2 linked regions of the Nothobranchius furzeri genome follow. The protein of the gene in region 1 interacts with the protein of each later gene in a pairwise test. Links are inferred from orthologs where the notes say so. Each region holds a gene or a part of one and is shown on either strand. Other genes may lie near its edges.

Region 1 (6,460 bases):
ATGGTCTCCAACCTGGTTCCGTACATGGCGTCCTCGTGGCTTCCGTACTCCAGGTAGTCGTTGTTGCTGATGTCCTGCATCATCTGGTCATGAGACACAAAGTAATAGTTCTTCCCATTCTCCTCATCTTTTTTAGGAGGCCGAGTTGTGTCTGGGTGGAGAGATGAACAACAGCGAGAGTGAATTATCATGTTTTTCTAGAGACGATGAGAAGTCGCAATCAAAACGTAGGCGTGCTTACGAGGAATAGGATAGGCGAAGCGATCCGGATGTTTAGCAATGAGTGTGTTCTTGATGTGCCTCCTACCAACTCCATGTGCACCTGAAGAAACAGAGACCACAGAGAGAACCATAAACAAGTAACAAAACACCACTTATTTAGTTATATTCCGCTTCTAAGAGGGCTTGATCAGATTTCTTTACACAGTGGCTGCTCTTCGACTTGCTTTCCATCCAGTCCTCAGACCTGATCATGAAGCGTAAGCGGTTTCCTCTAGACGACATTCAGGAGATTTCTAGAAAGGGGGAAGGTGACGGGGGGAATAGGCTGGCTCGGTCCTTAGGCGTTACATCCTCTCCATGTGAAATCGACCCTTTCAGGACTTTGCAAAGAGTCGTCAGCATATCGTGACATTTTACTGTGCATGATGTCACTGATAAGCGCCCAAAGTTGCCTGCAGCGGCAGAGCATCAACAATGAAGAAGGGATGGCCGCTGCCTCTCGGTTAGCTATGTTGTTGGACACAGTAGCGATGAATAAAGGCTTCCCTTATTTTCTGTTCCTTCCATTCTGCTTCACCAGCAGCTCTTCTAGTTTGACAAATGCCAGTTGTTTGGCGATGTCTGCCGATATAATTTCCCACTGAGTAACCAGAAGTCCCATTTCTGAGTACATACCCCAGTGCAGGTACATGTTTGTTCCTGAAAAATCCTGGAAACCTGTCCTTTTGGGCCAGCATGAACCCTGCTACAGTGGTCTCAAAGGGGCAAAGGTCTTTTGGCAACTCTTTTGCAGCAGAACCTGCAGAGGAACATAAAGGAGTTCCTCTAGTGGAGAGAGAGCTCTTTCTACTGGAACAGCTCTTCTTAGGGTCTCTAATGACCTTCTGACTCACAGTGATGCAGGGGACTGTTCTGTTCTGGTCCTGCTGTACCTGACTGCAGCCTTTGACACTGTTGACCATCACCTGCTACTGGAGAGGCTGAGAGACTGGATAGGCCTATCAGGAACTGCTCTGGAGTGGTTCTCCTCTTATCTTTCTGAGCGCTCCTTTTCTGTGGCCGTCTCCAAGTTTAGGTCCTCCACCACCTCCCTTACCCATGGTGTGCCACAAGGTTCTGTGCAGGGGCCCCTACTCTTCCTCCTCTACCTGCTTCCTCTTAAGCACATTCTGAGCTCCTTTAAAGGGAATCTCCTACCATCTTTATGCAGATGACATCCAACTGTACATCTCCTCTAACCCCGGGTTTCCACGGGAGCCGTCAGCAGCACGTTACTGCAGCAGCACGTCTAGCTGCTGCTTGGCCCTTCCCACGAGACGCGACGCAGCAGAGGAGCAGCTGTCACCGACAGGGCACGAAGTCACACGAGTGACTTCGTCAGTAAACACAACAACAAGCAGGAGAAAACTACAACATGGCTCCAAAATGTTTGTGTTTTTATATTCTGTCCGTTTTATAATCGCCAATACGGACCTGAAAAACAAAGGAGACCGCTAGCTAGGTGATAACTTCTCACGGGGCCGCACAGTTAGTAACCTTTTTTAAAGTAAAGCGACCGGAAGGCAGTACGTTCTTTATTCTGAAAATCTCGGTAGCTTCTCTCCATTTCCGCGTCCGATTTCCTGTCTTTCCTTCCCCAAAAATGTCGAACTTGACCCGTTTCAGAGGCGTCGCTCGTAGGAAATAGAACCGGCGCGTAAAGGCCGCGACATGCTGCTCCTGAGACGCGGCCGACTCGCGCTGCTGACGGCTGCTGACGGCTCCAGTGGAAAAGGTTCTGTTGACCACAGCCGTTCCTATCAGCAGCTATGACGTACTGCTGCAGTAACGTGCTGCTGACGGTTGCTGTGGAAAGCCGGGGTAAGCTCCATAAGATGTCTAAGCTGCAGCTGCTACACACCTGCTTAGACTCTCAAAACTCAGTTAGCCGGGAGCTTTCTACAGCTGAATGAAGATTAGACTGAGATCCTCATCTGCGCCCCAGACAAGCTGGTTCCCAAAGTCAGTTCTCTCATTTGCTCTTCCTTCTTCCATCTCAGGAACATTGCTAAACTGAGTCCCATTCTGTCCTCCACACCATCATCTCCTCACACTTAAGACTACTGCAACTTTCTACTCCCCTGCTCCCCGCTTCTCCTCCAACTTCAGTGGCAGCCAGTCAACTTCAGAGTTCATTTCAAGATCCTGGTTCTGGTCTTTAGGGCCTTACATGGACAAGCACCATCTTACGTTGGTGATCTTCTCAGTCCCTACACCCCCAGCAGGTCCCTGAGGTCCAGTGACCAAATCCTACTGGTTGTGCAGCGCACCAGGCTAAAGACCAAAAGTGACAGATCATCTGCTGCTGTGGCCCCCAGACTCTGGACCTCTCTCCCCCTGAGCCTGAGATCAGTGGACTCAATGGTCTCCTTTAAAAAGCAGCTGAAAACTCACCTGTTCAGGCTTTGGTGTGACTTTTGTCACCACCCTCTCCTTATTCTGCTCTTATTCCACCTTTCCCGGGATCCACTGATTTCTCTCTCCCTTTATTATTTTTTAATCACTTTTTTTTCTTTTTAACATCTTTTTATACAGTTTTTTTATTTAACCAAATTTGTTTTCTTCCTGTTTGATCCAAGTTTATCTATTTAGAGATAACAACTTACCCAGCAAAACTAGTGTTTTCCTCTTGAATGAGGGCAGTTTGACCACTTCTTCATACGTCACCAAGTCTAGTTGGTCAAACACTGAACAACAGAGGAGAAGCTTTAGAACATGACCGATGAGAACCACCAAGGTGCATCTACAGGTGGATCTAAATGATCTGGAACTCTTTAGGGCAGGTGTGAAACTAAAACTTAACCGTGTTTCTGAATTCATGCAGTCAAACTCAACACAAATAAGATGGGTCAGATATGACAGAGTGTAGAGAAAGTAGGATTAACTGCACTGGTTTTGCTTGAGAAATTAGCCAATGAATTGATTTTGGGAGTAACATCGTGGAAAACCTGGTCAGATTGAACACCAGAATCAATCTGAATCACATTGCTGTGAACAACCCAGACCAGAGCAGCTCATTCCAATGAAAACACCAGGAGATAAAGGGGAAAATAAAGGATACCAGCTTTCGTCAGTTACTTACATGCAGCCATGTCATTGGGTAAGAGACAGCATGAAATATGGACAGAGGGTGGGAGCGGAAGGGTTATTACAGACCATAATTCAACTTAAGACTGTCAACAACAAACGTTAGTAGCTGAAACATCAGACAGTAAATAGAAAAAGGCCTCAGAGGGAGAAACATGCAACACTAACAGGTGCAGCAATGTGATTATACCATGTTCACTAAACAGTAAAGGTCTCGGGGCTTTAAGCCCTCACATTTAAATCAAAACAACACCTGAGGTCCTTCTGTGCTAGTAGACATCGTGGTTGAACAGTGACGTACCTGCGTTGTGCTTGGCCAGGTATTTGTCTTTGTATTGTTTCTTCTTTTTGCCAAACCAAGTACAACTGGCCTGCTGTTCCTGTTTGGTCTTCTCCATGGCTATACACGCCACACGCCTGCACACACCAGCACATAGTGGCAGCTTTACAACGATGAGAGGTGGTTCAGTCGCTACAACACTGCTCCTCTCCTTCCTTCAGGGAACAGTAGATCTATGCATAACTTAACGTGGCTCTGGTCATCCAATGTGATCCATCGGAAAGCGGCGATATTTCTAATTTCCCTGCAAGTTGTTTAGGTTTCATAATGTTTACACAAACCTTTTTTACTGGGATTATTTAGGCTTAGAGGGGGATGGTCAGTGACCCTCTGGTCGGGCTGAACTACTTTAGGAAACGCCTGAACTGTGTTTTCTATTCGATTCACAGATTACAGAAAATGACATCACTCCCTTAAAACATTAACTTTAATCACACAAGGACAAAAACGGCTTTCAAATGTATTTAAGAAGAAGAAATGGGCTCTGTGTGGCACTGATCAGATCTGCAGATGTTTTTTTGACAGAGATTGGCTGATTTTTCATCGGCAGCCGAAGCCACGCTTTAGAGCGCCTCTGCTAATGTTTTCATGATTGCGCGGTAACGCAAAAACTTCTGGCAGAGAGAGAGAGAGAGAGAGAGAGAGAGAGAGAGAGAGAGAGAGAGAGAGAGAGAGAGAGAGAGAGAGAGAGAGAGAGAGAGAGAGAGAGAGAGAGAGAGAGAGAGAGAGAGAGAGAGAGAGAGAGAGAGAGAGAGAGAGAGAGAGAGAGAGAGAGAGAGAGAGAGAGAGAGAGAGAGAGAGAGAGAGAGAGAGAGAGAGAGAGAGAGAGAGAGAGAGAGAGAGAGAGAGAGAGAGAGAGAGAGAGAGAGAGAGAGAGAGAGAGAGAGAGAGAGAGAGAGAGAGAGAGAGAGAGAGAGAGAGAGAGAGAGAGAGAGAGAGAGAGAGAGAGAGAGAGAGAGAGAGAGAGAGAGAGAGAGAGAGAGAGAGAGAGAGAGAGAGAGAGAGAGAGAGAGAGAGAGAGAGAGAGAGAGAGAGAGAGAGAGAGAGAGAGAGAGAGAGAGAGAGAGAGAGAGAGAGAGAGAGAGAGAGAGAGAGAGAGAGAGAGAGAGAGAGAGAGAGAGAGAGAGAGAGAGAGAGAGAGAGAGAGAGAGAGAGAGAGAGAGAGAGAGAGAGAAAAAAAAAAAAAAAAAGGTTCAGGCAGATTTCTAAAGCTAAGCTCGGCACTTAAGTTAACTTGTGAGTTTAACTTCTTTTAAAGCTGGTTTCTCAGAGCGGAGCGTAAACTAGGCTTTATATCAGTTTTAGTGAGAACAAACCAACAGCCTGCCTTGCTCATGCAGGACAGCGGTGTGCATTTTTGGAGTAGAACAAGAACACGTTTTTATAAAACACAAGCAGCTTTACAAGCACATTAAAAAATAAGATATAAATATAATATGGGAAAAAATATTAATAGCTTTAACTGTTTTTATTTGTATGATTAAATAGTAAATACTAATGTGAACAATTTGTTGTACCGGATAGAATCTAGACTAGGGCTGCACAATATATCGAAAAATTATCGTCATCGCGATAATAGGACGTGCGATAGGCCCATCGCAAAACACGCCAAAAACAGCGATAAATGTTTGGTTCAAACATTTCCATCCGTGTCATACATCAGCTTTTTGTAAACCAGCTCTGTTTTTTACGTGGAAGTGTTATTTGACCAATCAAATGTAGTCCTTCTGATATGTGGCCAATCAGATGGTTCTGTTCACGTAATACGCCCGCTCCCTACATAGACCCTTTTGGAAAGCAACACCCGAACAGAGTTAGCGGCGCTGTTACCTTGTTCGTCATGCTGGCTCAGAGCAACGAACGCACTTTGTGCTGAGGTTTCTGGAATCAGCGCTGCTTTTCAAACGTGAACGTGACTCCGCTCGGTGTCGTTAATCATTTTTACCGGGCTGACTCCGACACGTGCCGGTGAACCAACCCACCTTCATGTTGCTAGTGTTCCACCGGGTGGTGATGTTAGCCCAGGCTCCGGTTAGCTTCCAGCTAAAAGGCTACAGCTAGCACTCTCCTCCCAGTCCCACCCTGCTAAAGAGGGCCTGGAAAAGTTCCCCCACACATCAAAGTGATTTTTCATTTATGAGCTTTTATAACCTTGTTAATCAGGATAGTTGATTTGCTGCTGCACATAAACTGTCAGTCAGAAGCTCTGCTAGCCGGTTATCTTAGTTCAATTTGTTAGCTTGTTATCAGAATCATAGTTGCAGTTTCATCATCTGAGCTGCTTTTTAAGATCTAGGTCAACTTGTTCAATTTGCCACAACAAACAACAAACAACAACAAACGTTTTCACATATTTTCCATGTAGATTTTTGCCAGTTCCTCTTCTGAAAGGTAGACAATTGTTTTTCTCCTAGTTTGGCCCAGCACAGTTCACTTCCCAATTACAGCAACAGCCTTATATCATAACCACATAAGTGGAGAAAATGTTCAGTAGCAATGAGAGAATTTGCTGTTGCATTTAAGTCATTGACGACTAAAGTCGTCATTGGCATTTTTTTACTGTTTGAAAATCGGAACGAGCCCCCGCGCTGAGAGAACAAACATCTCAGCCCTGAAGCCGATCTTCATCGCCGATCTTCATCCGCATAAGTCACGTGATCAGGAAGCAGAACATCAATGTGTTAGGTCTTTTTGGGCCGTTCCTGTAAAAAAAAGTGAGGCGCGAACCGGAAAAAAGTCTGCAGATCACAATTCGAAAACACGCGGATTCTT
Region 2 (6,888 bases), about 31 Mb from region 1:
ATTAGGTAAAGTCCCTAAGCTGGTGCTCACTTTCAGGCTTTTTCTCTCCTTGTCATTCACATTGATTGGATTAGACCCAGGTGGCAAGCAGATTCCTCTGGCACAACAAGAAAAAAGTGACAATATGATGGTTGATGAAAGCAGGTTGTTTTGTACCCAAATTAACACTTTTAAAAAGAGAGAAACGTCTTTTTTATAATTATGTTTCTGCGCTTTTAGGGAATAGAGGATACCTGTAAAAAATATTTTGCCTTTCAGCTGTTTCAAGGTATTTTTTCATGTCTTTTTTAAGGCGACGGTGACACAGGAGTTAAGTACCTGCCCCGTACTCGGAATGTTGCAGGTTCAAGCCCGGCTCAGTCTGTCACTGTCATCGTGCCCTTGGGCAAGACACTTAACCCACCTAGCCTGCTGGTGGTTGGAGGGACTGGTGGCACCAGTGTACAGCAGTGCACCGCACACTGTCAGTTCACCCCAGGGCAGCTGTGGCTACAGTGTAGCCTAATTACCACCAGGGTGTGATTGTGTGTGTGAATGGGTGAATGACATTGTACAGCATCTTGGGGGGATCTAGGGCTCCAGAACGCGTTATATCAAATGCATGCCAACCATCAGTATCAAGTACTGATGATGTATTTCCAAGAAACTAGTAAACTTGAATATATATATATATATATATATATATATATATATATATATATATATATATATATATATATATATATATATATATATATATATATTCTTCAAGGGAGCCCTTAATGATTTTCCTGCTTCTCTCTCCAACTAAATGAAAGCAGAATTACGACTGTCATAGTCAACCCTTCCACCACCTGCTGTAGCTAGTGCTAACAACGAGCTAACGCAACATTGAGCCAACAGATACTAAAATAAGACATGAAGTAAAAAAGATCCACACAGTTGGACAAAAATGAATTATTACTCACAAGTCCAGTACAGCAACAAAGCCAGGTCACTATCAGACTGTGATTTCATAGCACTCATCAGCTGCCAAACAAGCGCCGTGCACAACTTGATGACTCAATTTTTTTTAGCATCCATCAGAATAAAACAGGTATTCAAACTCAGACTAATCATTCGGTTATCTGAAATTTCTTATTTAGATTTAGAATCAAACAACTAAACAAAATATTTTAGTCAATTTCTACCAGCACTGTATAATACGGGACATTTACAGTCGGTTTAGGGGTTTCCAATCATTGAGCTGTGGTCCAATCCTGGTTTGCACAATAAAAGTTTCTGAAATCAAAGTTAATTCTATTAACATATTTTATACATGTAGACTTGAATAGGGGGTTTATGTTCAAATTTGCAAAGAAATGTAAAAGTCATATAAATAAAGTGCATGGTCATTTTACTGTAACATTTGTTATAATTGCAATTAGCTCCGCCCCAAGTTCTCTAGTAAAAAGATGAACTTATTTACAAATGGTATCACTTTAATTAAAATGAACTAGTTGTCATTGTTTAAAAAAAACTATTGGACATATTTCAATAAATCTATCCAGATAAACCACATTAAAGCAGAGATCTAAAAACAATCAGAGACAATTTTTAAAAAAATATAACCAGTAGAAAACAACTTCATTCACTAGAATTTCTAAAGCAACTCTTTTGTATTTTTAAAGTTGAAACAACATATCAGATTTTACAGTGCACTGGAGCTCCTTGGTTTGGGTGCACCATATCATATAAAATACATACACTGACCAAATGTAAATGCATGCATCCAAGAGCACATTAGCATTTTCATATTAATTAAAACATTTAAATAGCTATAGATGTTGTTCATGGTGAGTCACTGCTTCAGCTGGTCAAAGGAGGCAGAAGGCAGATGTCCTAACCTGCACTTCTTTATGTCTCCTCGAGGGACAAATCTGGCCACAAGCATAACAAATCAGCCCCTCCTGTTTGATTATGTCCAAACGGCTAGCTGAGCCAATAAAGGGGGGACTTGGCCTGATAAACAGGCACACCTGGGGAGACGCACTGTGCAAATGCATGGTTGATTCAACAATTGGTTTCTTTAGAGAGAGGGGGAGGGAGAGAGAGAGAGAGAAAGAGAGAGAGTAATGCTTATTAATGATCATAGATGGAAGTGAACCATAATCCTGTAATGAGCAGAGCAGAGTGGCCTCTTTTCCTTTGGTGCAGACAAGCCTGTGCTTGCATGTTTCTCAGAAATAGATTGCTGGACCCAGTAGCCCTTCTGTAATGACCTCTCTAGTTAGTTTCAGAGAACCATGGCTGTTCATTAGAGAAACAAAATGCCTTCCAGTGTAATAGGCCTTTACTTGTGTTCCTTTAACCCTCAGATAGTCCTGGTTGGTTCCTCATTCTGCACGCAACTCAACCAAAAGCTGTTTTTCTTTAAATGTTCTAAGTGTTTTATGTTGTCAGTAAAAATGCAACATATCACTATGAAAAAAGCACATCCCAGTGAAGATTATTGAAGGAAACAAGAAATAAGAAAAAGTGAAATCAGAACTTTTCTGTCAGACAGTATCTAAACAGAACAGAACAGCTGTTCTGGAGTAACCTTATTAGCAAATGAAAAATGGAGGTGTTTGCAGCATCTGCAGCTGCTGTCTCATAATTTAATTTAATTTGATTTTATGTTTTCAATCAAAATTGTTTTATCACAAACTAAACCTGCTAGAAAATCTCCAATTGTGAAATGAAATGATTTAGGGTTTAATCACTGACTTCATCTCATCTGAATCGTGTTTATTTTTTTAGGAAATACATGTTTTATTTTATTAAAGCCTTTTACATGTACCTCAGAAATGTAATCAAAAAGAGTTTAAATGATTTATTTTTCCACACAGGATTTAATGTTTTTTTCTCTTCCAGTGAGCTTTTATTATTATTATTATTATTATTTATTTTGTTTTTCAAAGCCACAGCAGGTGCACCGGCTCATAACTTTTAGTACATGAAATATTTACCAGCACTGGGAATCATAAACACATCTTCAGAGGGACGCAGGATTTCACGCTATATCACAAACATTTTAAGGCTTCAGATGCACTGCCTGTCACGTACTGTCATTTATTTATTAAATTTTTTTGGTGTGTTAATAATATATCTAGGCTTCTCCGCGACATACTTTGGCACTCGTAGCGCATAAATAGGTAAATAACGCCGGTAAAAGGTAAATAACACAGCTGACAGCGAAAAACAACAATTATAATTACCTTCTTGTTGTATTTTTTTATGTTTCGTGCTTTATTTTTTAACCAGGAGAATCATTCGGAGTCCATATGCTTTAATCTCAGGCCCGTGTCACAATACAAACAAATCACTTTGTGCACGGCGCTCCTCAGATTGTCCTAATTAAGAGCTGTCTAATTAAATTACAGACTTGAGTTAACCAATGGCAGCACTTGTTTCATTAGCAACGCGCGCAGAGTGATGGAGAGAAAATCCACCCTGATTGCAGGATGGTGTCAATTGGCTAATTTACCGCCTTCCTTGCTTCAAGTCATCTCAAAGGCGCACTTGGTGGTGTTAGACTGGGGGAAGAGGCGTGTGCAGAAGCTGGTGATATAGGTTGAGGTAATAGTTGCTTCCTATTGAGCTATGCAGGTCGAGAATTGCATCTCGCTGCCGAGTGAACTCTCAAAGAAATTTATGAATGTGGGCAGTGGCTTTGCGAGCTCCAATGGATCCGAGGAGCTCTCGTTGCAGGACCATCCTATTATATCCGCAAGTGACAACCTGGAGAGAAGTTCACCTCTGAAAAAAAACTCCAGGGAGATGACGAATCAGTCAGAGGCAGACAATTTTCCCGACTCCAAGGACGCATCAGGGGACGTCCAGAGGGGCAAACTCTCTCCTGATCTTCACGGAGTCTCTGACATCCGTCATAATTTCGATGGATCTGCAGGAGAAAGGTGCATCTTTTCTCCGTCTTCTCAGCCGCAGTCCGTTTCAGCAGCAGCTCCCAGTGCGATGTTCCCTTACCCGAGCCAGCATGGACCCGCGCACCCGGCGTTTTCCATCGGAAGTCCCAGCCGGTACATGGCCCATCACCCGGTCATAACTAATGGAGCATACAACAGCCTTTTAACCAACACTTCTCCTCAAGCCTACCCGGCAGCAGGTTACCCTTACGCGCAACAATATGGACACGCATACCAAGGAGGGGCTTTTTACCAGTTCTCCTCGGCGCAAGCGGGACTGGTTCCGGGGAAGGCGCAGGTGTATTTGTGCAACAGGGCCCTGTGGTTGAAGTTCCACAGGCACCAAACTGAGATGATCATCACAAAACAAGGACGGTAAGAGGGCGCACATGCAGGACCAGTCGGATTTTCACATCATTGCAAGTCGGTCTCAAATAAATAAATAAACTATTTCCCCTTATAATAAAAGGCGCAATTGATGCATTTATTGGGACATCTAAATTGCAAATAAAAAAGAACATAATTTGTTTATATGGTAAAAATATCAGCATACATGTATTTTCTCCTGTTTCTGCAGACGAATGTTTCCATTTTTAAGCTTCAACATTTCTGGCCTCGACCCAACCGCTCACTACAATATATTTGTGGATGTAATCCTCGCTGATCCAAATCACTGGAGGTTTCAAGGCGGAAAGTGGGTGCCATGTGGAAAAGCGGACACGAACGTGATAGGTAATCACGACTTTTGAAAATTTCGATAGAAAATATTAGGAAAAGGGCATTTTCCCGCAGTTAATTTCATTTGGAAATAGGTCATCGCGAATCTAAAATCACTTTGAATGTATTTTTTTCTGTGCGTATTTTTTAAAGGTAATAGAGTTTACATGCACCCCGACTCACCCAACACCGGTGCGCACTGGATGCGTCAAGAAATCTCCTTTGGAAAATTAAAGCTCACCAACAACAAAGGCGCTTCCAACAACACAGGACAGGTAATGCAACCTCAAATCCAACTATTTTATTGTTGTTTAACGCATTTCATTAATTGTACGTATATTTACCGTTATGGTTTATTTCTTTTGTCTGAATTTGCTCCTTCTGTGTAAAAATAGTGTTTCCAAACTTAAAAATGTCTTTTTTCTTGTCTGACGCTCGTCCTTTATTGAAACTCCAGATGGTGGTCCTCCAGTCCCTCCACAAGTACCAGCCCAGGCTCCATGTGGTGGAAGTAAACGAGGATGGGACGGAGGACACCAGCCAACCAGGAAGAGTCCAGACGTTCACCTTCACAGAGACGCAGTTCATCGCTGTTACCGCGTACCAGAACACTGATGTACAAGAACTCTCTCTCTCTGCACAAAATAAACCATTTAGCGCATTTTGGAAATAACATGGATTTAAAAAATAATGTTGCATTTTTTTAAATGTATATATATATATATATATATATATATATATATATATATATATATATATATATATATTCGTTGTGAAAAACGAAAAAATATAAAGTTACTGATAGATTTAAACAAGGAATATGAGAATAAGTTTTTATCTTTGAGGTTTTTCCACAAATTAGAATTAAGTCTCAAATGAAATCACATTCATTATGAATTGTGTTTGCATGCTTACAGTTGTATGAAATGATCACCGCATCTTTTCTCTGCAGATCACGCAGCTGAAAATCGATCACAACCCGTTTGCAAAAGGATTTCGGGACAATTACGACACGTAAGACAACACAATTACATCTATTTGCCTCCTGGTTGCAATTTTTATCTGAACAACACAGTGCGCTATTTGGACAAGGATAATAAAAATGTTGCTTTTTATTTGAATGATTTTAATAGTAAAGAGCAAAAATCTGTTAACGAAACAAATTCAGCAGATTTTAATTAATTTACGTTCAATTTCGTTTGTGAATTTGGTTTGACCTTTGCGCACCGATTAAGAACAATATAGATTCCACAAATGATATTAAAAATGATTTAATTCCTTGTGTGAGACAGAAGGCCCATATTTCGAGGTTGCGTCAGGTGAAACGGGTTCCCAAAAAGCTGCAGATTATTTTTAATAAAAAGAAACATGATTTCAAAACGAATGGACGCACTGTGAAGTTCCCTTCTGAGCTGGTGTATTAGCAGACAAACGTCTTTGTTGAAAACGCCACCATTGCGCACCATTAAGCGCCGAATTGTTTTCTGTTTTCTCTCCATCTTTTCAGTGTCTACACAGGCTGCGACATTGACCGCCTAACTCCATCACCGGGTGACTCTCCGCGTTCACAGATCGTGCCGGGTGCGAGATATGCCATGCCTAGCTCCTTCCTGCAGGACCAATTTGTCAGCACTTATGCCAAATCTCGCTTTCACCCTGGCGTGGGGACTGGTCCTGGCACGGAGCGCAGCGTCCCACTCGGCAACAGCTTGCTATCCCCGCAGCAAACCGAGGAGCCCACTGTTGCCACCCCCCCGCAGCGATGGTTTGTCACCCCTGCCAACAACCGACTGGACTTTGCAGCCTCGGCATACGACGCTGCGGATTTCGCCGGTAACGCGGCCACCTTGCTGTCCTACGCAGCGGCCGGAGTGAAGGCTCTTCCCCTGTCGACAGCGGGCTGCTCCAACCGGCCTCTTGGCTATTACGCAGACCCGTCTGGCTGGGGAGGACGCACGCCGCCGCAGTACTGTGGCGTAAACAGCAAACCCAGCTCGGTCTTTTCCTGCTGGCCCGCCAACTCCCTCGGTGGCAGAGCCGCCACCAACTACCTGTCGGAGGAGGGGGACTCCATCGCCACGGAAAGGTCACCGATCGGTGGCTCGGAAGAGACCAAACCCAAAGACATCACCTCAGAGTCCAGCTGGATAGAGACGCCGTCGTCGATCAAGTCAATCGATTCGAGCGACTCTGGGATCTTTGAACAGGCAAAACGGAGAAGAATCTCACCGTCTGCCACGCCGGT

Evidence for each region. The genes of interacting proteins can lie anywhere in the genome.
Region 2: the proteins of peripheral plasma membrane protein CASK (region 1) and tbr1b interact in a two-hybrid assay, tested with the Homo sapiens proteins (2 studies listed by BioGRID and IntAct). The link is inferred for Nothobranchius furzeri from reciprocal best matches to the Homo sapiens genes CASK and TBR1.

What each region holds. Positions count from the first base shown.
Region 1 is NC_091754.1:50,606,661-50,613,120, reverse strand, and holds part of peripheral plasma membrane protein CASK, read right to left. Parts: intron 3,766-6,460; coding exon 3,650-3,765; intron 2,949-3,649; coding exon 2,868-2,948; intron 323-2,867; coding exon 242-322; intron 152-241; coding exon 1-151. UniProt on the Homo sapiens protein: Multidomain scaffolding Mg(2+)-independent protein kinase that catalyzes the phosphotransfer from ATP to proteins such as NRXN1, and plays a role in synaptic transmembrane protein anchoring and ion channel trafficking.
Region 2 is NC_091754.1:19,433,998-19,440,885, forward strand, and holds the start of tbr1b (T-box brain protein 1b), read left to right. Parts: upstream 1-2,756; 5' UTR 2,757-3,603; coding exon 3,604-4,301; intron 4,302-4,503; coding exon 4,504-4,658; intron 4,659-4,796; coding exon 4,797-4,918; intron 4,919-5,100; coding exon 5,101-5,259; intron 5,260-5,595; coding exon 5,596-5,657; intron 5,658-6,150; coding exon 6,151-6,888. UniProt on the Homo sapiens protein: Transcriptional repressor involved in multiple aspects of cortical development, including neuronal migration, laminar and areal identity, and axonal projection.